Oryzias latipes: one gene and its partners. The main gene of each other region encodes a partner of the protein of the gene in region 2 in a complex. Links are inferred from orthologs where the notes say so. Each region holds a gene or a part of one and is shown on either strand. Other genes may lie near its edges.

The links.
Region 1: the proteins of nedd4 (region 2) and gap junction alpha-1 protein are in contact, whole or in part, in an NMR structure (PDB 2N8T), measured with the Rattus norvegicus proteins. The link is inferred for Oryzias latipes from reciprocal best matches to the Homo sapiens genes NEDD4 and GJA1. Residues at the interface, in NP_037118.1 of Rattus norvegicus: Asp416, Asp417, Tyr422, Val424, Asp425, His426, Ser428, Lys429, Thr430, Thr431, Thr432, Trp433; in NP_036699.1 of Rattus norvegicus: Pro277, Leu278, Ser279, Pro280, Met281, Ser282, Pro283, Pro284, Gly285, Tyr286.
Region 3: the proteins of nedd4 (region 2) and grb10 are in contact, whole or in part, in a crystal structure (PDB 3M7F), measured with the Mus musculus proteins. The link is inferred for Oryzias latipes from reciprocal best matches to the Homo sapiens genes NEDD4 and GRB10. Residues at the interface, in NP_035020.2 of Mus musculus: Glu71, Leu72, Val79, Arg104, Ser112, Ile114, Leu115, Thr116, Ser117, Val118, Gln119, Glu134, Ile135, Leu136, Phe137, Arg138, Leu242, Pro243, His244, Pro245, Pro246; in NP_001357532.1 of Mus musculus: Ile514, Arg516, Gln518, His519, Phe521, His522, Gly523, Arg524, Asp548, Gln579, Phe581, Gly587, Asn588, Thr589, Lys590, Phe591, Ser592, Ile595, Gln596, Asp599, Phe600, Leu603, Asn604, Ile617, Arg618, Val619, Ala620.

Annotation. Positions count from the first base shown.
Region 1 is NC_019882.2:10,598,870-10,607,040, reverse strand, and holds the start of gap junction alpha-1 protein, read right to left. Parts: upstream 4,334-8,171; 5' UTR 4,211-4,333; intron 2,428-4,210; 5' UTR 2,412-2,427; coding exon 1,233-2,411; 3' UTR 1-1,232. Other genes in the region: gap junction Cx32.2 protein, read right to left, coding at 7,802-8,171. UniProt on the Homo sapiens protein: Gap junction protein that acts as a regulator of bladder capacity. A gap junction consists of a cluster of closely packed pairs of transmembrane channels, the connexons, through which materials of low MW diffuse from one cell to a neighboring cell.
Region 2 is NC_019861.2:21,564,454-21,572,553, reverse strand, and holds the start of nedd4 (E3 ubiquitin-protein ligase NEDD4), read right to left. Parts: upstream 4,203-8,100; 5' UTR 3,621-4,202; coding exon 2,322-3,620; intron 1-2,321. UniProt on the Homo sapiens protein: E3 ubiquitin-protein ligase which accepts ubiquitin from an E2 ubiquitin-conjugating enzyme in the form of a thioester and then directly transfers the ubiquitin to targeted substrates. Specifically ubiquitinates 'Lys-63' in target proteins.
Region 3 is NC_019874.2:13,043,756-13,051,782, reverse strand, and holds the start of grb10 (growth factor receptor-bound protein 10), read right to left. Parts: upstream 5,354-8,027; 5' UTR 4,884-5,353; intron 1-4,883.

The DNA of each region.
Region 1 (8,171 bases), on a different chromosome or scaffold from region 2:
TCTTCCACATGAGATGAAGACCTGTTTAAGACAAGTACTCAACGAAGAGCATAGAAAAACTTCACCAAACCACGACTCCAGTTTTTTTGACAAAATTCTCAGTTAGAACTCAAGAGGGGTATCGCATGGACTACAGTCCTGTATCCCAACTATATTTGGCACCTGTTCATTGAAACTGCAGTTTTCTACTGCAACCAAAGGTTTGTGCCTCCCTGAAGGTCATGGTTGGTTAGGGAAACCGCTGCTCAGAACGTTTCAAAAAGTTGTTTACAATCAGGTCCTAGAGAGGACTAAATGGTGACTTCTGTCTGTAGCAACGGTAGAACCAGTAAAGGATCAGAATCCATTATCTGGACGTACAACCCTGGAATATCACCACAGGTCCTGGTTGTTCAGGGCTTGTTTGTGGGTCTACTGCATGTTCAAACAATAAACACTATAAGCTTTACTAAGAACTAGATAAACCCCCGTTAGTCGGCAGGTTAGTTTGGAGTTAAAGGTTAAGAAGGCAGCAAAGTCATCAAGGGGGCCAGAATACGAACAAACCCTGACAAACCAAAACCTAGAGTGTTGAACGAGGCTGGTTTCAAAGATCTCAGAGCATTTGAGGACCAACTCCATCAGGGCTGAGTTTTAAAATCAATTCTGTGACAGAGGGGGGTCCTACTCTACAAGACTTATCAATGTGTTTCTCTGGTTAACAAAAGCTGTCTGATGCACCGCCCACCAAGTACAGTGTTTTCACTAAATAGTGCAGGCTACAAATACCAAAGAGACGTGTGTCAATAGGAGGCGGCTCTGCTCAGGTTCCTAAATCCGAGCAGATGGCCCTGCCTCTTGTATGCCCTCCACCTTGTTTGTTGTTCCTTCTCTGTTGCCCCTCGCCGGCTGTAGCTCCACGGCGGTGGTCTAAAGATTTTGAAAACTTATGGGTAAAGGATGAACCGGCTTTCCGTGTTCTGAACCAGCCCTATGGCTGCTGTGTTTTTTAAAGCTGGACTAATGGAACTACAAAGTTACAGTACAGACAAAATAGTTGCGAGTTGTACCTTTTGAAAGTGTTACACTGAAGCTTTAATGTCTCTGACTGACACACAGTCTCTATCGTGAGGACAGTGATTGAGGTTAGTCCCACCTTCTTCATGACCCTTTCTGATCAAGTGTTGCCTGATTGTCCGCCTGCAGCCTCACATCCTGTCGGCCAGGCAGAACGGTAAGGTCGCCAGGGCCCGTTAGACATCCAGGTCATCGGGTCGGGCTCTGCTGCTCATCCTGCTGCTAGCCCGGCTGCACGGCCTGGGGTCCATCAGCGCCAGGGGCTGCAGTTCGTGTCCCGCTGATGATGTGAGTTTCTTGTGCTCATGGGTGTCATCAGGAAAGTCAAAGGCTTGTGCGTGGGAGTTTGAAATGGTACTTCCCGCACCAGTTTGACCCAGCCGGTTCTGCTCCGTAGAGTAGTTGGCCCAGTTCTGCTCATTGGCTTGCTTATTGTAATTCCGGCAGGAGCCGGTTCCACGCTCCCCTGTGGCGAGCTTGTAGCCTGGAGGGGACATGGGTGAGATGGGGGCGGTTGGGGATGAACAGCCGTTGTAGTAAGCGTACTTTGTGGTGGACAGCTCTTTGGGGGTGGGGCTCAAAGTTCCTCCTCCCCCGGGGAAAAGCCCGGCCTGCTGCTGCTGCTGCTTTCCCTTTACGCGGTCTTTGATCCTCTTGAATAAGACGTAGAAAAGCTCGATGACGTTGAGCATCAGAGAGACCAGAGAGACCACCAGCATGAAGATGATGAAGACGGTCTTCTCTGTGGGCCGCGACAGGAAACAGTCCACCCTGTGAGGACACGGGTCCCTCTCGCAAGTGTAGACGGCGTTCAGACTGAAGCCGTAGATGTACCACTGGATCAACAGGAAGCCCACCTCAAACAGAGACTTGAAGAAGATGCTCACAATGTAAGTTCTGAGGAGGCCTCCCTTCATCTTCACTTTTCCGTGCTCCTCAATGCCGTACTTCATTTTTTTTAACTCAATTTGCCTAAGCGGGATGTCAACATCACCCCCATCATTCTGAACGGCTTTAAGCTCCTCCTCCTTTCTGTTGAGTTTCTGTTCCTTCCTGTGCAGATAGAAAACGTGAGCCAGGTAGAGCAGCGTGGGCGTTGATACAAAGATGATCTGCAGCACCCAGAAGCGAACATGGGAGATGGGGAACGATTTGTCGTAGCAGACGTTTTCACAACCAGGCTGCTGGGTGTTACACTTAAAAGCCGACTGCTCGTCACCCCAGGCCGACTCCACTGCGGTACCCAGAACCAGGATCCTAAAGATGAAGAGCACGGACAGCCAGACCTTCCCACCCGCAGTAGAATAGGCCTGGACTTTGTCCAGCAGACGACCCAGAGCACTCCAATCACCCATCGTTGGGGAGTGTTAGCTGGTGGAAGAAGAAAAGAGAGAAGTTGAACTGACAATGTCGTGAAGTCAAACAAACTTTCAGTGTTGGCTGAGTTGCAGCCAGACGTTGGATAAAAGCAAAGGAGAGTGATAAGATCTTACAGGAAACATAACTGAGAGTTATTACTTTGGACGGAAAATTTGTGGCTTCAATTCACTTTTCCACTCACTGTTCTCTCAGTTTGTTCCAACTTCTAGTTTTTGCATAAAATAGTGTTGCATTATAATCCGTTTTCTTAATTTTAGTTGGGTTTTGCTAATTTACAATCATAAATCGGATGTGGAGATCCTCTAAAATTAGGTTTTCTTTTTTGAGAAACATTAATATGTTTGATGGAAACAATTAATTCAATTGAAAGAACTTTAGTTTTTTGTTTGTTTTTTTGAAGGATTATGTAATTAAGGAGAACTTAAGGGGACCAAACGAAATGCTTAATGACGCAACAAGCTAATCCAATTAGTGGAGCAGGGGACAAAGAGCACGTTTTTGTTCTTTTCCTTAAGAGCTTCACTTTAAATCCAGACTGGCTTGGAAAAAAGGAATTAAAATGGAAAACACATTCAGATTCTGCTGAATCAAAGCGCTGTGGAACTACTCTCATCATCTTGTTTTCTATTAGACACTTTTAGCAGAAATGAAGGCGACAAAACTTATAAATTCAGACAGTTGGGTTTTAAAACTGATCAGAACTTTCAATGGTGGAGCCACAAATCAAAAAATAACTCTAACACTGAAGGTTCTGGTTGGTTCCAGCTGACTGGGTCCCTAAAGGTCTTCAGGTCTTCATCCTGTAAAAGTTTTGGCGCTTAATGTGCATTAATCCCTTTGCGCATTTGGGTGCAAATATGCATCAAACCACTTCTGTTACAAAATTACCTTAATAAAAAAAAAACTGGAAAAGAATGTAAGCGTCAAGAGCCAGAATGTGGCCCCAGAGGAAAGACAGAAAGACCAAAAAAGATGCCGACAGCTAACACAAGGAGGCTTGGTTGAGCGCCGCCCGAGCCTCTGTGCTGTGACGGGGTTCAGTCGGGGCATCAAGAGCCCAGGAGAAATCCTGCTGCAATACAGATGCAGAAACAGGAGGCAGAATGTTGTTTTTTCATGTGACTGATACAACAACAGGTCCTTGAAAGGCTTTCAGATACTCTGACTGTCAGACAGAAGCACTGGAGGTGCATCATGTAAAACCCCAGCTGTAAATCATGAAAAAAGAGGATCTGCAGACTTTACTGACCTCATGGAAACATCAGGTCAAAAAAAACAACCCAACAGGACATTAAATGCTGGTGCATGTGACACATAAAAAGATTCTCAGAGTGGGCCTCACAAGAAAGACCTTTGTGGATGAGCAGGAAGCTGCAGGCTGGTTCAATTCTCTGCATGTGCTCTCACTTATCTGGAAGCTCTGCAGGGTCCAACTCCTGAGGAGTCCGGGAGGAGAAGAACAGTTGCTGACTGTTAGGAGACACAATGTCCCGCCACTTTCTGCATGAATGAGTTCAGAGAAAGCAGCACAAAGCGCTACAGAGCTTTGACAAGGTCCTCTGGAGGAGCCCAAGGCTCCTCTCCACCACACAACCCACATCCACTTCAGAGGGAACCACGGAGAAACCCGTCCAGAACCGCTCACCTGAGCGCACACTGAGAGGAGAAAGTGTCCTCCATCTATCTGGTCCTCAACAAGAAGACTGGTGAAGATGTTGCATTAAGAAAGAAAGAAGAGTTGCCTGGTTCTGGTCAGGACTGTAGTAGAACTCACCTGGACGTTCGGAGAGACCGTGTCCGCCGTGTCTCAGTCCTGTGGGGAGGGGTTGGACTCGCGCACCGGCCCCGCAGCCGAACTGAACCAAACTGTCAAAGTTACTCTATAAGAGGAGGTCCAGTCACGTGACCACATCCACGTCAAGAGCCTGTGGGGGGAGGCGCGAGAGTGCGCGCGCGCGCGCGGGGTTGTACGCGCAGCCGCTCACCTAGAAGGTTGGAAGGGCCAGGGCCGGAGTTAGTCTTTTCAGGGACCAAATCAAAACACAGTTACGTTTTTTTTATTTTTCTCTTTTTTCCAGTATTATTTAAACATTAATATAATTTCTGCAGTGATCGAACGTATAAACTTTAGATTTAAACTATTTGTAAGAAGAAAAAAATGCAGGAAGACAAAGCTGACAGGTCCAAAACCACACTGATCCTGTTATTTTTAACATTTAAAAACTTAGGCCAACATAACTGGAGTTGTGATATACTGTAGCAAATATGTGGGTAAAAAAATGTTGTGCCATCCATTATAAAGAATAACTAATAATATAAACTATTAAACTGTGGGCTATAATCATCTCAGTTTCCTCATTGTTTAACAGAAAGTCACTATTGCAGAAGTTGATAGAAAGAAATAATTCCTACATTTGGGCTCATTGACTAGATCTAAACCAAAAGAAAGCATTATTTATTTAACTCTTTTTGAGAATGAATCAAATCAGGAGATTTATGAAGATATTTAAAATAAATATAACTTTTTCCCATTAATTTAAAAAGGGAGGTTGCTAACAAATTGCTAACAATTAAAGAACTTGAAAAATATGTAATCTCTCTCTCCCTCTATCTATCTATCTATCTATCTATCTATCTATCTATCTATCTATCTATCTATCTATCTATCTATCTATCTATCTATCTATCTATCTATCTATCTATCTATCTATCTATCTATCTATCTATCTATCTATCTATCTATCTATCTATCTATCTATCTATCTATCTACCTAATCTTGAACTATTGGAACTGATTTTAATTTCCTTAATCATGATCTATTTCATTTTTATATGGTTTCATTGTTTTTCTTTAAAAAAAAAAAAACTAAAGAAACTACTAAAATGAGCAGCAAAAGGTCTTCCAGATAAACCTTGCAGGTCCTGGAGAACAGAACTGTCTGATAAAAGGTTCCTGATCATGTGATCGGTGTGGTGACATTTACCAACACTGAATGGTCCCTCTGAGAAATCACAGTTAACTGAGTAGCAGTCAATAGCGCCACCTAGTGGTGGAAGTGATTAAAAACAATCAATTGTTAAAGTTTATCCACCAATAGAATAGAATAGAAAGCTTTTCTTGTCACTGTCCACCTGGACAATGAAACTGGAGTAGTCTCCATTTTAGTGCAAAAGCAAATCTAACAAAGTATAATATAAAACATGTCAGTATAAACAATGTAATATAACTATATGTATATTTATATATTTAATATAATTACATTGTAATTTAATTATTATTTTCTTTATAATAATGTGCAGAGTGATATGTACAGATATAAACATGTCAGATGTGCTAAAACAGCATGGAGGGGGGGGAAGTGTTGACCAGTTCACCTAAATAAGCACATGTACATATACACATACATAGACATATACACTGGCAAGTGCTGTGGCAAATTTTATCTGGGTGTTTTGGATTTGAGTATGGTTTTTGCCTTGGGAAAGAAGCTATTTTTGAGTCTGTTTATTTTAAATTGGATGCCTCTGTAGCGCCTCCCAGAGGGCAACAGGTTGAACAAGTCTGAGCCAGGGTGTTTCCTTGATGATGTTTTGAGCCCTGCTGAGGCAGCGTGTGGAGTAGATGTCAGTCAGGGAGAAGGTGTCCCATTTGTCTTCTGAGCTGTCTCTACGACTCTCTGCAGCCTCTCCTTGTCTGCAATGGCAGCTGCCGTAATGTTATGCAGTATGTGAGGAGGCTCTTGATGGATGAGTGGTAGAAGGTCAGGAAGTGTAGACACTGCTGAGCCTTTTTGATGATTGCTGTGATGTTGGCTGTCCAGGAGAGGTCAACAGAGATAATGATCCAGACGAACCTGAAGGTGTGGACCCTCTCCACATTGATATGGAGGGGGGCTGGGTAAGCGCCATGCTTCCTGAAGTCGAGGATGATCTCCATGGTTTTCCTTGTGTTTAGAGTAAGATTTTTCTCTGAAGACCAGGTTGTCAGCTTCAGGACAAGGCAGTAAAAGACAAAATGTAATCTCTGTTCTCGACTCCATTTATAATCTAGAACCTCAAAAGCAGATAAATATTGGAGAAGAGAATTTGAACAAATGCTAAAAAGAGTTAACTAATGACATTTTTTTGCTAAATTCATTCGTACCCAAAATGCGCTTCTTTTACTGAGGCAGATATGTGCCAAAACACGTGTTTAAGTTTTGGCACATATTTGCTTTCAGAAAGATTTCCTGTTGTGGTCAGAAGTTCTGATCTTTATTTCTTTATAGTCGAGGTGAATTGGGTCAAAGTGTGTTTTATCATATTTTGTGCCTTCACCTAAGTTCATTAATGCATTATGTAGGAGCTAAAGGCCTAGAAACTATTTAACTAAGTTCTAGCTCCTTTGATACACTGAGATGTGCGACGCCAGAGTTGATTGACGCCAAGCGGGCTGTCGTTTCCTTATACGACGAAAAGAAATGAGTCTTTTACTCCGATCAACTTTGCATTACTTTGTTTCTTTTATTAATTTACACTACTGAACGGATTGGACTACTCTTTTGCTTCATTTCCCGCACAAGCGGTCAAAAACCATTTCTCCATCTGGCTCATGTACACCTGTGTGTGGTCAGATCATCAACCAATTTATAATTGACAGCAAAACATGAAAACAGCGACACCCACAGGACATTTTTCTCAATAGGGCTCCTACACATTATGTTAATTGTATTGTATTGGTCCATGCAAACCCCCAATATAATTATGTGAATGTATCAAATTTCTTTTTAATATAACCTGTTTTATTTGATTTAACACATTGACCAACTTTTTGTTAAAATAAAATCATTTGTTTTTTGTCAATAATTGAAATTTGTCAATAAATGAAAAACAAAAAAAAGGTTTTCTAATTATTTATATTTTGAAATCAAATAATTTGACTAGAATGTTTTAAAAAAGCATACTTAGATTTAAAGTTTTTAGCTTTCAACTTACATCACAGAGACTTGATTTTCTCATTTTCTTTATTTGCAAAAGCCTTTGATAGACAGCAGTGAAATTGACATTCAGTCAGTGTTCCTATTGTAAAAGCGTTCCCAGTGGTCTTTAATGATGATCATGCTGTTTTTAGCCAAAATAGAAAAACTTATCATTTTCTAAAACATAGTTTCTGCAGCGGCAGGAGTTCATCAGAAATTTTTCTCTGAGTTATGGGCGCAGAGTAAACCTGGCCCAAATTCCCCTCCCAATTACTGAGAGCTCTCTGTTTACATGCTCTCCCTCTAGCTTACAGCCCCTCCCACCCCTAACTTAACAGTAGCAGTGCAACAAAAAGGGTTAGCAAAATTGGAGCTGTCTACTGTCTGCGCTTGATCCACAACAATCATCAGCTCTTCTTCTCCTTGCTGCTTGAGTCCTCTCCTGTGTCATCCATGCCTGACAGAACGTGGGGAGTTGGTCCTGGTAACCCAACGTATAGCCCACCCGCAGACTTCCAAGCAGGGTTGGCTGAGTACTGCTGTGAGCTGAGAGCATACTGCTGCCTCAGAGTCCGTTTTGTGGCTTTTCTCCTCCTGCTGCACAGCAAGTAGATGATCTCAATGATGTTGAGGAGCACGGAGAGGCCCGTAACTCCAAACATGAAGAAGATGAAGAAGGTCTTCTCTGTGGGGCGGGAGATGTAACACTCAACGCCAGTGGATTTTGAGCAAGGCTCAACGTCACAGGGGATATAGAGGGAAATGATTTGTGACTTG
Region 2 (8,100 bases):
CCTCATGGAAAATTTACAGTATCAACACAACATATTTATTGAGACACAAAAAGAAAGTCACATTTTCCACACTTCAAAGTTAAGGTGTCTTTAAGAGATGAACACAAAGATTGTAGGTGCCAAGAATTAAGTGTGGTCTTTCTTATGCTGAATAAATATAGATTTGTTTTTATTATAGGTCATTGAGTAGGATAATCAGCTGGTGGGTCACATGTTTGTGGGTGGTGACATTAACTTTAACTCACCTGTGGTTTTTCCCTGTGTAAGATGGAAGGGGGGGGGGGTGAGCTGGGTTGCCGTATTATTTTTTTTTAATCGCTTCATACGCTTTAGTGCTTTTTTCTTGATTCTCTGTTTTTTTCTTTCTTGATCATAATATAATAAGTGGATTTAATTACTTTCATTTTTTTATTATTAAAACTTCAAAATACAAACTTCGTTATGCTTTCTGGTTTTCTGAGCCCGTCATTCAATACCCGGACCCAGCGTCCGCCTCTCAGCGACTGTTTGGTTTTGAAGTCGCTACAAAGATTCTTTTGTCATAAGGGGTGTGTGGAAAAAAAAATTTATGGAATGGTCTTTTCAGGTATTTATACCATTAGACATACATTCTAAACAACATAACAAAAGAGCCAACATCACAATTTAACAACACCCTAAACTTAATCCATAGTTCTCTTTTTTCTGTTGGGTTCGTATACCGGTACATTTATTTAAATACCAGCAGAGTTATCAGTGAGGTAAAACCCTAGTACTTTAAGCATTATAAAATGAAAAACCAATCATACTTGCAAATAAAGCACACATGAAACATCTGGCTCACACTTCATCAAGTGCGGATCAAGTGCAGTCCTAGTTATTCTGTAATTTGGACATTTTGGACTGGCATGACACCACTAATGAAAGAATAACTTGAAAAACCAAAGCAAGCGGCTATATTTGTGTCCAGTTTATGTATTTTTATACAGTACATGTGTGACAGTAACATTCTGATAAATATAGAGCAGTAACACAGCAAATGAGCTGAGGAAGTATTTAAACTTCAACAAATTTAACAAATTTTGAGGGGAAAAGCATGAAATTTAGGAACAACATACAAGCATTATTACAGTATGAGACAAGTTTACACATAACGCAGTAAATGTCTTTGGTGGTGAAGTGCAAGTGGAACAGGAGTAAAAAAAAAAGGTTTTTAACTGCACATGTGTGATGTGAGACTTGACTGAATAACCATTACAAGTACCTTTTAGTAGTCCTTGCTGCATTTAGAACAAAGTATGATTTAAAAGGAGGGCGCAACATTAAAATCTTTAAAAATGAAAAGACCATCTAAATGTGACAGAAATCCTTAGTTTCTTACAACCTGCCAAAAGTGTGGGGAGACCGACACATAATACTTAACAAACATTGCTTGGAAGACGAACAACAGTGCAGGCAGCACACGTACTGGGAAACACGCACACACATGCCATGTCCACAGATGGCTGGCATGACTGTGTGCTGCTCTAGTATCATGCTGTTAAATTTGAATCCACAGGACCAAGCAGTGCTTCAGTCCACCAGACTATCTGGAGTCAGGGGGAATATTTCAGAGCCCCTTTATTTAAGTCAGCAAGGGGCAGCACTTTTCCCACCACTAAAATTAGCCTTGGGATATACTTAAGTTGATCCTTCATAGTGCTAACCGAATCATAAAAGTAGGGAACTGTTGAGTTTGCCCAACATTGGATTGTTATGCCCCCAAGATGGTAAAGAACCATGTCTTTGCAATTCACACATTATTTGGAAATCCACATTTGGAAGGATTAAATATAATGTAAATCAATATCTCTAAGTGTTTGTCCACACTGTACTTGTTCTTTGCGTGACTTTGTATTCAAGATCTTATGGAGTTACAGCACGTCTTGAACAAAGCCTGAAGGCTAACCCTTGTAAGCAACACTTTAGTGGTAGTAAATGAAAAGGAGAGTTAGAAAAAACAAATGTGTACTTAATATGTAGCATTGTTCTTTAAATTTTATTGAAACTATTTTTTTTCTGGTAGCAAAAATTCTAAATTATTTGTTATTTACATATTTTATAAAACCCTGTCATTTGCATTTTGCACCAATTACCCCGTTTTAAATAGTATCCTGATGGGTAAGATTACATCTTTGTAAGCTAGACTTATTTAGCAACTTTTTCAGCAGAACTTATGTCACAGAAAAACTATATGGCAATAATCTACATTAAAAAAAAATTCTGACAGATGTTAGTTTTCACAACATCCCAGTTCAGGCATTCAGCTGTTAGTCGGTGTTAGCGTTAAATATAGCACTCACCTTGGTGCTCTGACCTGAACTCTTTGTTTCATTATTCCATTTATGGCTTGTGTTTACATCATTGGTAGAGTTGGGCAACTTTGTGGGGCAACAGGGCGACAAATGAATATGCACATGGGGAGAATAAGAGCTGCTGAGCTTCGGTTTTGAAACGTGACATGAAATTTCGGTGTTAGGGTACGGCACCTCGAGGGAAAAACTCCTTTGCACGGCACGGTGACAGCGACCATCCTCAGACCAGTCTTGGCCATTCCCCGTTAAACAAGGCTTCCTTTTGGGCGATGGTTTTGTAGAAGGAAACAAACAAGCAGAGGTACTGCGATACAGTTTTTTTTTCCCATCATGTACATGCTCAGCACGATTAGTAGGGTGATGAGCCTCTGGATATTCCACATTTGCATCCTTACTGAGAGCTGCCTTTGTCGAGCCCTGTGGACTGTGGGGGGTAAAATGCAGCAGCAAACTACTTGAGTGACGATTAGACCTGTCTGGAGCTGATGAAACTTCTGCCCCTGCATTCCTGCTCTCAGCTTTGGACTGCTGTTTATCCTGTACAGGCAGATTAAAGTGCACCGTGTGTTTCGAGTCCTCAGCTGCTGAACAGTTTCCTCTTGGCTGACTTTGGCAACTGACTGCAGCTGTGGTGGACCCTTTGTAACTTACTTCCTCGTCGTCTTGTGAAAATGTATTGGTAGATGACTGAGGAGTTGAATGACTAGATCCTCTTGCTGGCAGGAGAGGTGGCAAAGCTCCTGAACTCACTGGGGAGGCAGGTGGAGTGCTGCAGGGGCTTTTTGGAAATATAACCAAAGACGAGCACCTCCGCAGTGGGACTCTGGTTCTCCAGGAGAGTCGAGTTCTCTCGTGGTTGGTCTTGTGCTTTTCTGGAGGCTCCGGTTCAAAGATGCTGTTGCTGCTGCAGTAACCAGCATCACTTGCCATGCTGCTGTGGCACGACCCTCCGCCGCCTTCATTAACCCCAGGGTCTCCATCCTCTATGCTGCCATCCTGCTCTCCACTGAGCTGTCCACAGGGCTGCAGTGAGATTTGTAGAACGCTCTTCGTATTACACCCTCCAGTGTTAACTCTCGGTATGAAAACTGAAGAGTATTGACTGTTGGCAAAGTCTGGTGACAGAGGAGTCACCTTCAAGTGGACAGAACTGTGCGCCAGACTCTGTGTGGGACTACGTACAGACGCACCAACTCCGCTCTCCTCATCGTGGCTGCTCGGGCTTTGTGACAGGGGGTCCGTGTTGCTTCTCCTTGACGCGAAATGCAAGCGGAGCCGACGCGCCATTTGTTTAACTCCCTAATCCCTGCAGCGCCTGTAAGAGCAGCATGATCACACTTGCTGGTAGGAAAAAGAAGCAAGTAAAGCAACTGCTGCGCACTCCGCTGTGATCACAATCATTAGCGACTGGACATTGCCAAAATAGCTCTGGTGACAACCTACATTCCTCTCCAGGCTCATCTCAGCTTTAAGTCAGAAGGGGCCAGTGGTTCTGTTTGGATACTTGACCCAAATGAACAATTTTAAAACCAGAGCAGACCCCCTAACAGAAAACAAAGTTACAGTAAAACACAAGTAATTATGCCATTATCGAAAGTCTGCCCTCTCGATCTTATTCAATCTTGTTTACTCTTTTAAAAAGAAAGAAAAACCAGCTTGAAGAAGGCAGACTTACGCTGAATGTCTAGTGAACTGTTACATCTGCTTTGGCTCACTCACTCAGGACTGCACTTCCTGTGACTGCAGTTCATCTAATGTTTCGCTGCTCCTTCCTCCAACAAATATTTTTACCTTCTACTATTGAATTACAGGAAATTACAGGAAATCAAAATGAAAGACTTTCAACATAATTCTGAATCAAACTGAAGCTCAAGTTGAAGAAATAGATCATTTGGATTGTAAGACAGATTTAAAGCTGCACAACAGCATTAATGCTGAGACTTCCAAAGTGATAAACTAGAATGCTAAATTACTTGTTTTGAGCAGGGATCCAACAAACTGCTAAACACTGAGCTAAAGGATATTTCTTTTAAAATAAAAACTATAATAACTGTGACATTACCGTCACACGACACTGGTTATATGACTCCGCATGTAACAGCCAGTTGCTGCTCTGATTTCTTTTCCATGGCTGTTGACAGTCCAGTTTATTAATGGAAGCTTATTGTTAGCTAGGCTGGTCTATTTCCGATAATTACTCTGCTTTCCAATACAGAGCGGTGGTAATGTTTAATATTAAGAAGCAAAGCTAGGATAATGACATGACTCACGAGCAGACACTTTTTTTCCTGCTCACTTTCATGGTGGAACAATGTCTCACATGACCAGTGAACCACATGACTGCAGATGAGTCACTCCCCAGAACTGATAGAGGAGAGTGATGGTGATAGGTCAGCCATAAGATAAGATGTATGACTAACACCACACACATATTTGTCAATCTACACAACTGTATCATGATGTAATATATTAATACAATGAAGGAGCTTTGCCGGATCTCATGTTCCATGACGCAGAAGTAAACAAGGTCATATTTACTCAACATTTAAGAGTGCAAGATATTGTTGCTACAAATGGAAACTCTGAGATAAGATCTGAGGAGAATTTGAAGAGGTAAAATAGGAGTCAGTCTAAATCTTAACTATTTTACTTTACAGTAAACCAACCAATCTAGCTCTGAAATAAATCAAACTGCTCCAACTGGATGTATCAGTGAGACTGAAATTGAGCAGTAATACAAAATTAAATCGAGCGGAGAAACACTAACATGTATGGAATGGAACCTACCAGGAATGGACAATGTCACATCACTGATTTAGCCAAATATTTATAATTTTATTTTTTTTACAATATTTAATACTGACTTCTTTAAAGTTGGAAAAATCGTTAGCAGAATCAGGTTGCGCGTATCAAAAGTGAACAGAAAATCAAAACTTGTAGTCTGCAGATGGTACCTATTAGATAAAAACCAATTACAGCATAAACATAGACTATCAAATTCTAAGGAATCATTCTAAGCAATTGCCATGGACACATGTTTTTGATAAAACATAGAAGTTTGATGTTTGAGTCACCACTTCATCCAGGATCCAGGAAATCTTTCAGTTCTCGATCTAAATGGAGCAAGACAATCTTCTGTTCTAAAGAGCCTTGTGGTTACACATTGAGTCCTATACTGACAAATTAGAAGCATGGAGGCTAAGATATCCATTAGGATGTAATAAATAGGAAGCAGAATCTCTGAAAGATAGTCCATTGAGACCAAAATGAACCACTACAGTGCAAATGGTTAATGAGAATTTACATTATGCCAACCCAACCTTATCAGTGTTTCCCAATGTGTTTGATAACTTCACTATGTTTGAAAGGAAAGGGCGTCGTTTTAGGATTCCTTAAATGAAGAGAAACCGAAATAATACAAGGACGGATCCACTTTCTAGAGAAGTCTAAGAGATGAACCAGAGACAAAAAAAAATTCTGTTATAACACTATAAAGGATCTTTTGTCAAAACAGAGAGATGGTAAAAAATACATTTTCCTAGAAATACCAAACATGTTATAGTATATGAGGTTCTGTTTGTGCCAAATATATGTTTTTGTGACCACTGTCTATGTCTTTGGTCCATTGTCTCTGTCTACTGAACATTTGTTCATGGGTTATGTTTAAACCTTTGCATTTGTCTTTGACAGTGTCGTTCCTCCCTGTCGTCTCACTACGGCTCCTTAGCAACCGTTGCTAGTGTCGTTAGCTACGTCGTCTCACCATGTCGTGTCGTTAGATCTTGTATTTCAAATTTTGCCATATGAATAAAATTAAATTGAATAGATGAAGGTGGATTTAAAATGGTTTTTTTCAATCAAGGGCAGCTATGCTTGCCAAGAGCAAATGTGAAAAACTATGATTTTAGATTATTTCAAAAAGATTCGGTCTAGAACCTTTTTTTCCTGAAGTCTTTAAAAAAATTTTACTTGACAGCATTTGTGCAACTGAGGGCCAATAGGCTCAGTATTGTTGCAAGGTTTTACTTTTTTTTTAAATAAAGTATTTGAACTTTGCAATATAGAATTCAAAAAGGGTTCAACAGAGATGCTTTGCATAATGTAGTAGGTATATACACAGCACAACCTCTCTTTCTACCTTACCTCTAAGAGAAATACATCTTTGCATAACTGTAAAGTAGTAGTGAACACCCAATCCTAAACCTAGAAGAATTCATAGAACATTACAGTTTGCCTGATTGGGTTTTTTATTTAACAATCTCATAGACCTAAAGTATGTTCACAATTGTTAAATACTAAAAGTGACACAAACAGAATAACAGGTCTGACTTCCTATGATTTCAGAAGCAAAATGTTACAGAAATGCACACAATGGGACAATAAGTCACTTGCAACACCAACATGCTCAGCTGCCACAAGATTAGGGAAAATATGTGGGGAAGAGAGGCTTTGCTTGTAGCCACCACTTCTGTTGTTTCTCATTTGATAGAACACACATTGCAATAAGGCAAAATTATTCATACGAATCAATGTGAGTTGATTTGTATTTTTATTGTGTATGTGTCGATATCCATGTGTGTGAAAGTTTTTGCAGCCCCATCTCTACAATCCCACTCTAGCGCTTTCTTCAGATCAGCCCACAAAGAAATGTACATAAATATAATATAAGGGATTTATACACATCTACTTCTCACTTGTCCGAAGGTACATTACCCCTATTGTAACAGCACGAGATGCCTTCAGCTCTCATCTGTTTGCTCAGCGGCTGTAGAGGATAAGTTTAGCAACAACAAAACCTGTTGCTTTGAGGTGAATCTTCGAAAAATGAATACATTTACAACAACTGTTGCTGGTCACAGTGATTGTTTAACCATAAGCAACGGAGTCACTGGAACTCTTGGATAAGAAATAAGAAAGAAAGGAAAGATGACAAAAAATACGCCTTGCTAATGTGTGAGTTTACACATTAGCTCTAAGAAGTAACACAATTCCTTCCTGCAGCACAAGATGCTAAGCCTGACCCAGTCTTGTGCAAGTCTAAGGTCACACCCAAAGCTATTGTATCATGTGACCTTAAGCCTACGATGGAAACATTCTGTCAAACTGTGAACACATGAAAAAAGCCTGTTTTCATCTGTGAGGTCATGTTTTATGGCGTTTTGTGTAGAAAGAGATAATGATTGAACAGATAAAACAAAATCTTCCAGGGACTGAAACAGATCACGTGAATTGATCTGTTAGCACAGTTCATTTGATTACTGTGTAACATGCTGCAGGTAAATGACCCACTTTTCTAAATGAATGATTGCAAATGGTTCTACATTGACGTGTTTTTATGAGAAACTAATTTGCTGCTTCCTAGAAAATCCTGATTTACCAGTTGGGCAAATTGTAGAAACGAGGTATTTTGTTCTGAAGAGAACCAGTTCTTTAACTACGTATAAATAATCCTAAATTCTCCAACTAATTTAGATTGGTCTGGCCAAACTCATCTGTAAATGTGGTTTTATTTATATTCTACTTATTACTGGGCTGTAATTTAAAAATAAATCTGGATTGGAATAAACTGCAAAATTTATTCCATCAAAAAGAGTTGAATATGGAAAAAAATGTGTTAAATCGTTTTCCTCATTAGGTGCTCATGAAAGAAATACAAAGGCACAGGTGGTTTGTCAAACTAAGGAATGACTTGTATATCATACAAATACAGAAACTTAACACTGAGTTCAAGGAAGAAGAATAAGTGCAACCGCAGAGTTTTAGCCAT
Region 3 (8,027 bases), on a different chromosome or scaffold from region 2:
ACTAAATGCATTCAAACATCTACAGATTAGAAGTGTCTTTAAGGGACATTTCTAGCACATCTTTATAACACTACTTGTTGCACTCCTTTTTTGTTTTCTGAAACTTGTTTGCTCTAAATGCAAAATATTGCAGTCACATCATGCTCTTCATTCAAATTTTAGACTAAAGTTGATCAACAAATGTATAGTATTTGCATACAAAGTTTCCTGTTGTGGACCTAAATGGACTTGCATTAAGAAATTGAATAAAATTCGCTTTCTAGTAGCAAGAGTGAGAGTGTTTGTTGTTTGTTTGTCAAGCAGGAGCTAGTGACATAAACTTTGCTGATGTCTCTATGTAGGGTTAGCTGATAGTGTCATGACACCAGTGAGGGGGTATTAACAGAGTATAAGCCCCGACTAACCGGTGCTGAATGACTGCTAGGTGACGCAAGACCTCATGGAATGCTGCCTAGAGCGTGACTGCAAGCTCTTATACCACCAGTACCAGCTAAGAGGAGACCTCTGCCAGGTTTCCACCTAAAAAACTGTTTCAATGTCATTACACATAGACACATATCAATATAAAGATTTAAATCATCCCAGACACAAAGACAAATTGGGTGAGGATTAAAGACAGGGGAATGTAAAATATGTCCCAATTGTGAGTACTGTCGAGCCTTAACATATTAATATGTACATTTGCGCACAGTAAATGAGTCAAAAGTCTGTCAAAAATAGTACTTTTGCAAAATATCGTGCAATAAACGCAGTCTGACAGATTGTAATCTTGACAGGCTCGTGCCCCATCATGCCTGTGCTTATTTAGCATAGACTTGAAATAGCAAGTTGTCTGGGCAGTGGGGGGTAGGCGGGGAAGCTCAGTTAGTTGCCATGTGCACTGCGGTGTGACCAAAATACAAATAAATAGTGGGAGGAATTTTTTTTTAAAATCACCTTTAAAGGAAAACATCATTAATGTGTTTTCACTTATGCTTAAACTTGTATTTAACTATTAAGAATAAGTCCACAAAATCCACCAAATTTGGCCAAAGTGTGCATGTAAATTCAATGTATGGTGTGGGGGATGGGTGAATGGGGCAACATTGCAAACCAACAAGAGTTGGTTGCAAACTGAAATTATGGCACTAGATGTGACTACACAACGATGTCACGACTAATAATAGAGGCTGATATACTCTGGTCAAACTGTGGTGTGTCTCTGTTGCATTGCAACGATGCAAAAAATATAGAAACTTTTTTAAATGAATTGGAATGTTTACATCCTCTCCGTCACGTCTGCGTCTCAGGTCCAACACTCTGCAACGCAACGCCAGCTTTACGCAGGAGTTCTATCTCCAGTCCGTTCCCCCGGAAACACAATGACACAATACATGCATTTTAAAGGGAGGTAGTGAGGAAGGAGCGGGCATGGGGTCTGATTGCTTAGGTTCTGACGAACGAACAGAGCGGAAGGAACTACTCTGCACAGATTTGGCAGGACAAACCACTCCTCCAGGAGCCAGAGGGAGGGGGGAGGCAATGTAAACCAACTGACGGTCCTATGACAAACTCAATACGCAACCACAGAGTGTCAATTCGGGGTATTGTTTGGTTAATCTAACAGCAGTGCCAAGTATGTTGTGGACAATGATCCACCATGACCAAAGGGACACAACAACACACTAGTAGTCCCAGAAAAACAAGCGTTTGCTCTTCAAAACTTGCATTCACATTAAATAATCACAATTAGGGCTGCAGGACGTGAGGAAAACGTGCGATGTTCAATTTTGGTGATCGACGATATGAACAAATAGCAAAACAAATGAATAAACAACTAAAACAACATTTTCATTTCACAGCAAGATTTGAATATAAGGTCAACTTTAAATGTCTCACATCTATTAATTTATAGGAGGGGGGCATCTAACAAAAAAAGGGCTCCATCCGCTTGGTCAAATGCGTAAAGGGCTCTCCTTGATACTTTAAGCTCCCATGAGAGTGTATTGCATGTGCGTAAATATTTAAGGTAATCATTTACTGCAGTTTGTGCTGTCTGTTGCGTCATGCAAATCGCACGGCCCAATATTGCAACAATGAATTTGTTGTGCAGACCTAATCCCAATCAAATCAAAACTACATTTGAAAAAGTGTGCTGCATGTATTAAAGGCAACAATAAACAAATGTCCCTATAAAGCCACTGCAAGTACATTCATCTGTTTTTAATGCCTACATCTCTGAGAGAGAACTCTGCAAGAAGATGTCAATTGTTTTTTATTGAAATTTCAAACTAACAAGAGCCTATTTGGAATTTTTCTCACAAATTCAAATTAAGGCTGCTTCAAACCCTCTTTCAAATCTCGCAAATTCCAAGTAAGAACATTGATTTACAGTCAACCTGACTGCATCAATACTACCAGGAACCATAAATGTTTATGCAGCATTCTCCAGTCTACTGCTGAGCGTGAAAGACCCACTCCAATTACAAATGGGTTTTTAGCGTTTCTAACATGTTCTTGTGGCATTTTTCTGATGATGGAGGACGTAGATAAAGAAAATTTAGTTAAAAATTGCATTTCTGATTTTTTGCGTTATTCAAATCGTTGTGAATCAGACGAAAAAAAATGCGGTTTCAAAAAGATCTCCCTGCTCCAATATCAGATAGCTCCAATAATGCTCGCTATTTTTGTTGCACCGCTAATGTTTGCTACAACCAGTGTTTTTCAACCTTTTTTGAGCTACGCCAAACTTTAACCTTGACAAAAATCCCGCAGCACGCCAGCATCCAAAAATTACAAAAAAAAAGGAGAAACTCATAGTCTGTATTGATCTACAGCTCCTCTGCAATCTCACATGCATTTTTGTGATAATTGTGGCAGAAAAAGCTGGAAGTTCCAGCTGTGTTTTCTAAAATATGTAATAAAAGTTAAGTTAAAAGATTTAAAAACTGTCTGATGTGTGTTCAATGTGGTTTCAAGACGTTTAAAAAGGAAAGACTCATTGTGCGCTGAGATGCTGTCACTTTAACCCAATGCATCATGGGAGATGTAGTGCAAACAGACGCCAAACGCAGAAAGACTAGCGTCTCTGAGCTTCATTGTTTTGTTCACTCGTTCCACGGTCTGACTCTGGGTTTTGTGGCAAGCTACACCGCTAAAGACGAGCTTTAGCTGGTATTTTTGTTGGAACTGAGAGACTTTATGAGCTAAATCAGAACAAGGAAGTGAAGACTTTAACCACTTCTGATTGGTCAGACTGATGACGTGTGATTAAGACTCCAAGAATGATTGGTGGAGACAGTTAAAGGGGCGGGACTTCTCCGAAAACAGCTGAAGCTGCGGCTAAATCTCGGTACTGTCATTCTTATCAAAATGTCTTTAATAGAATCAAGTATTTTACGATCTTTCATATTCCTAACTCCTCAGTGTTTTATCAGGGCCTGTTTGGATGAACACAGAACTGATATCCTGGAGATGGTAAATGTTTTTAGATCAGTTAATGAGGGCAATTTCCCACGGCACATCTGACCCTCTCCCACGGGCACACTAGTGTACGTGCCGCGGCACACTGGTTGAAAAACACTGATCTAGGCAGTTTGAGAGGCTGCAAGCTAGCAAGAGAGAGAGTGCAAACAGATGGATGATGGGAAGTAGGGTCGGGCTTACGCCGTACCAATAGTACCGCCCACAAGTTCGAGGTGAATTTCTAATGAATTCCTGTCAGTCTGCAGAAACTAAATCCAAGAAAAAAAACACAAGTTTTTTTTAATATATTGGATGTAAACGGCATAATCATAAGTAAATGACCACTGGGAACGCTTTTAACAAAAGATCAATAGATGGTTGGAGTGGAGCTTTAAGCTAATTTTTTTGCAAGACTGTGTCAATAAATTAGGATTATCATGAAAGACGTGGTTTGTAGAGATCTGTTGTCACCGACTTCATCTGCAACTTCTTTTTTTTTAGCTTTGCAGAAATGTCATGCACTTTGATCATGTCTACTGCAGGGCTGAGACGAAGTGAAGTAGATTACAGGCAAAACAGAACTATAAGCAGATCATAGCTTCCTGAAAATGAATAAGGATATAGAAACTTTCATGTTCGGCAAGTAAGGTTTGGGGAGTCCTCCAAAACAGCCTCTGTAACTCCCTTAAGGGACCTAGAAACTGCTTTACAGTTTCTTCTTTATTTGTTTTTACCTTCCCAGTATCGACTGCAGGAATTTTCCTAGACATCCTCTGAGTGGGAGCTTTACCACACTGCAGGTCTACGTGAGTATCTCAGGGAAAACGCCTCCTCCTCCTCCTCCTCCTCCTCATCATCATCATCCTCCTCCTCCAATCTTAGGATAAAGCGATAAGGCCAGACTGGAACTCCCACACAACCGAGCTGGTGTTGAAACCAGAGGAGGAGGAGGGAGGGGGGTTAAAATAGTAGCCGGGTTGAAACAAGTGTGGGATCAAAATACCGTCCCCAGAGGGCGACCGGAGCAGCACAGCTCCCTCAGAAAGGCGTGGAAAAAACGCATGACATGCGCTGCAGTTTACGGTCATGCCTCGAGAATCCAGTTTGGAAGCAAGCAGAAGTCCACGTTGGAAAGAAAACATGGAGGGCAAAAAAAATAAAATAAAATAAAATAAAAAGCTCGATTGCATCGACTCCTTGTTAATAACTTGTTTTCAAAGTTGTCGCTTTTGGAGATGGAGGCAGGTCTGACTGCGCGGTTTTACGCACAGTGCGCACATGTGTTCCGAAACAAGCATGTGTCATCCCAGCGGCGCAGGGAACTTTTACCGCACTGACTAACCATCCTCAACCAAAACACACACACATGCTGAAGGAATGGAGAGAATTCTATCACATGCATGAGGAGCAGTAAAGCAAAAAATCAACACGCGCCTCACCTTTAGTTTAGAAACGGAGCCGTTCGGGGCAGGCAGGCGGACAAAAAACACTGACTGTCCGAAGACGAAGGACACTGGCCGGCGCTGGATCAGGCCACGTCGGTCAACATTCCCAGGCTGGACAGACTGACTGAGGCAAGAGGAGGAAGAAGAGGAGGAGGAGGAGGAAGAAGAGAGGAGGAGGAGGAGGAGGAGGCAAAAACAGTGGCAGCAAAGACTGTAGGGCAGCTCATGTCATGCGGCCAAGGGAGGAGGACACGCACGTACACGCAGACAAACCTGAACGCGCTCAAACAACCCCTCCCCTTTCTGAAAAAGGCCACGCCCACCACTGTCTCATGATGTGAGAAAAAGGGCGGGTCCAAAGGGTTACTCTGGTTCTCCCTCTTCTTTCTCTTTTTTCTTTTTAAAGAGCCAGATAAACAAATTATCGTTGGATTGTGCAAAATCACACTTGTTGGCAGATAGTTTTCACTTTTTAATGCTTTCTATTTTCATTTAACTTATTTTCAGAAAGCCTTAACTTCAATTTTTTTTTTTCACTATCTAAAGTGTATTAAGTTGTGACCTAAGCTGTAATGCTTCTTAATTTACACGTTTTTTGTATATTTCTTATGTTTAATGATAAAAATAATCCACTACATGGCTTCTCTTTGCAGTCTAAGTACCAATTTGTATTTGTTTTCTTTAAGTTTTGCTCATCAAAACTGATTTTTGAAAAAGATGTAATTACCTAATAGTTGGGGAAACATTACATAATATGTAATTCAGATTGTGCTCCTCCCAGACTGCTTGAAACATTTAATTCATTAGTCAAACTTTATCTTTGTTCCTTGACAGGATTGCTGAACCTTTTTAATATCTGTCTTCTTATGATTTGTTTCAAAACCCATAAACCAAAAAAAAGAAAAAGAAAGAAAGAAAAATAGTCCCTACAGCTGATAAAATAATAGGTATACATTTTCTTGAGAGGATAAAAGAGGTTTTTAATGATTTAAAAAATGATGTCAAGGTATGGAAATGTTTTAACTTTAAAATCAGAACAGTTGTAAGGCCAAAACATATTGATCATCATTTAGTTCTGACTTGCTTTGGAGCCAGATGCCTAAATACATTATTTATAACGGCAGGTATTATGACCTTTTCCTTAGCGACTCAAACCTATAAAAATTGTGTTTTTAATGTGTTCTACTCATTTTTTTGAGGACATATTTTTAAACAATTAGGCTTAAAGTTGCATTTCTGAGTATTTTTTTATTCAAATCCTTGTGAATCAGTAGCAGGGGAATAAAAAATGCGGTTGGAAAAAAGATTGTAGTTCCCTGCTGCGCTCTGTTCTGGTGCATCCACTGGCAGACAAATAGATCCATGTACGCCTTTGTTTTCCTCATTTGAGCTGGTATTTGTCTCCAAAATGCTTGACATTTTGATGTTGTGGTTGGATTTGTACTGTTAGGTTGGGGATGTGAGGGGCAGTAAGCTAGTGGGAGCGCGTGTTAACAGATGGATGTCGGGAAATAGGGGCGGGCTTCTTCCATGCCAATAATCCATCCACAACTCAGAGGTGAATTTCAAAACAACTACTTCTGCTCTGCGGAAACTAGGTCCAAAAAACAACAACTTTTTTTTTTTTTTTTGGCTAAAAACAGAACAATCATAATTAAAAGACAACTGGGATCACATTTAAAATAAATCAAAAGATCATCCGAGTGGGTCTTTCACAAAGCTCAGACTGACTTGATCATTTGTTGTATTTCACATACGTGTCACCAACAGTTCCCAAACACAAGGACTTCCAGGAGTCTCCATTGAAGACACATTCGTTTTGTGTTGTGACAGAGTTGCCTTAGGTAGCAAACACAACTTCCCTTATAAGAAGACCCTGTTCTGACAGGCACAATCTGCAGTAAAGCTGAATTCACAGGGAGGTACAAAGTTGCACAACCTGGGGTCAAAACTCATTGCGCCAGAGTTCCATCTCCGAACTGTTATGTTTTCATCCCTCTGAGTGTTTTCCTATTGCATAAGATATTACAGTGTTTATTACTAGACTGAGAGGAACATCAGAGGGGCATGTTATCTAACTCCTTTGTTGAAGCGTATAGAGATTTAAACACAAATAGAATGACTTGTAGTAAACCCAAGAGTACCTTCTGATTAATTTATGTCTTTGGCCACGGGGAGAACAGGGTTGACCCAGAGTTCAGCTCCTGGCTATCCAGCGTGTAATATTTCAGGTTTTTTGATGGGAAAGCACCATGGGACACTGAAGTGCATAAAATCATCAATCCTGAGTCGCTTGTGTGTGCTTGGATTAGGACATGGAGGCTCCTACTGTGTCCACACACTTATAGCCCCTGAGTCACACATATGCAAGTGCACATCATAGCCGAGGTGCCTCTACACAACAAGGCATTCATTTTAAGTCTGGCACCGTGGCATAAAACAAACACATACTGTGTGGATTACCCTTCATCAGACATTCATTATCACACAGTCTTTGTTCAGCTTGATGGATGAGATGCAAAAGAAAGTTCCCAGTGTAGGAAACCTGTCTGTGTACCTTCTGCTGGTAGATGACATCACAGTGTCCATCATTCATGAGTCAGCCCCAAAAAATGTGGTTAGCAAAAGAAATACAATATAATGATTTAATAATAATACTAATGTTTTTTTGTTGTTGTTGTTTTTGTGCAATAGGAGACTTTTCATTTCTTTAAATTGAACAAAAAAATGGTGTAAATACATATCAAAATAAAGGAAAATTTTATCTGGAAAAAAAGCCTTTCGTCACCATAAAATCTGGGTTCATAGGAAATGTTTCATATTTATAATTAAATGCTCACTGACTGTAAACTTCTATATTCAAATTGTGTAAACAGGAAAATAACAAATAGTTATCTTATGTTGAGAAAAGAAACAAACAACGGCCTTAAGGCTCTAAAGATAAGTAAGTAACCCCAGGTTGTTGCCACAGGTTTACAACAGCCTATAGCGTCATTTGGCCTATCACAATCAAGAAATTGTACACACAGTTCTTAGAAGGTGCTGTGTATTATTGATTTTATGACAGGAGTCTGTGAGCAGTTTGATATTTGAACGCATGCCTCATTTGGCCCACGGACCGCACTTTGGACATGCCTG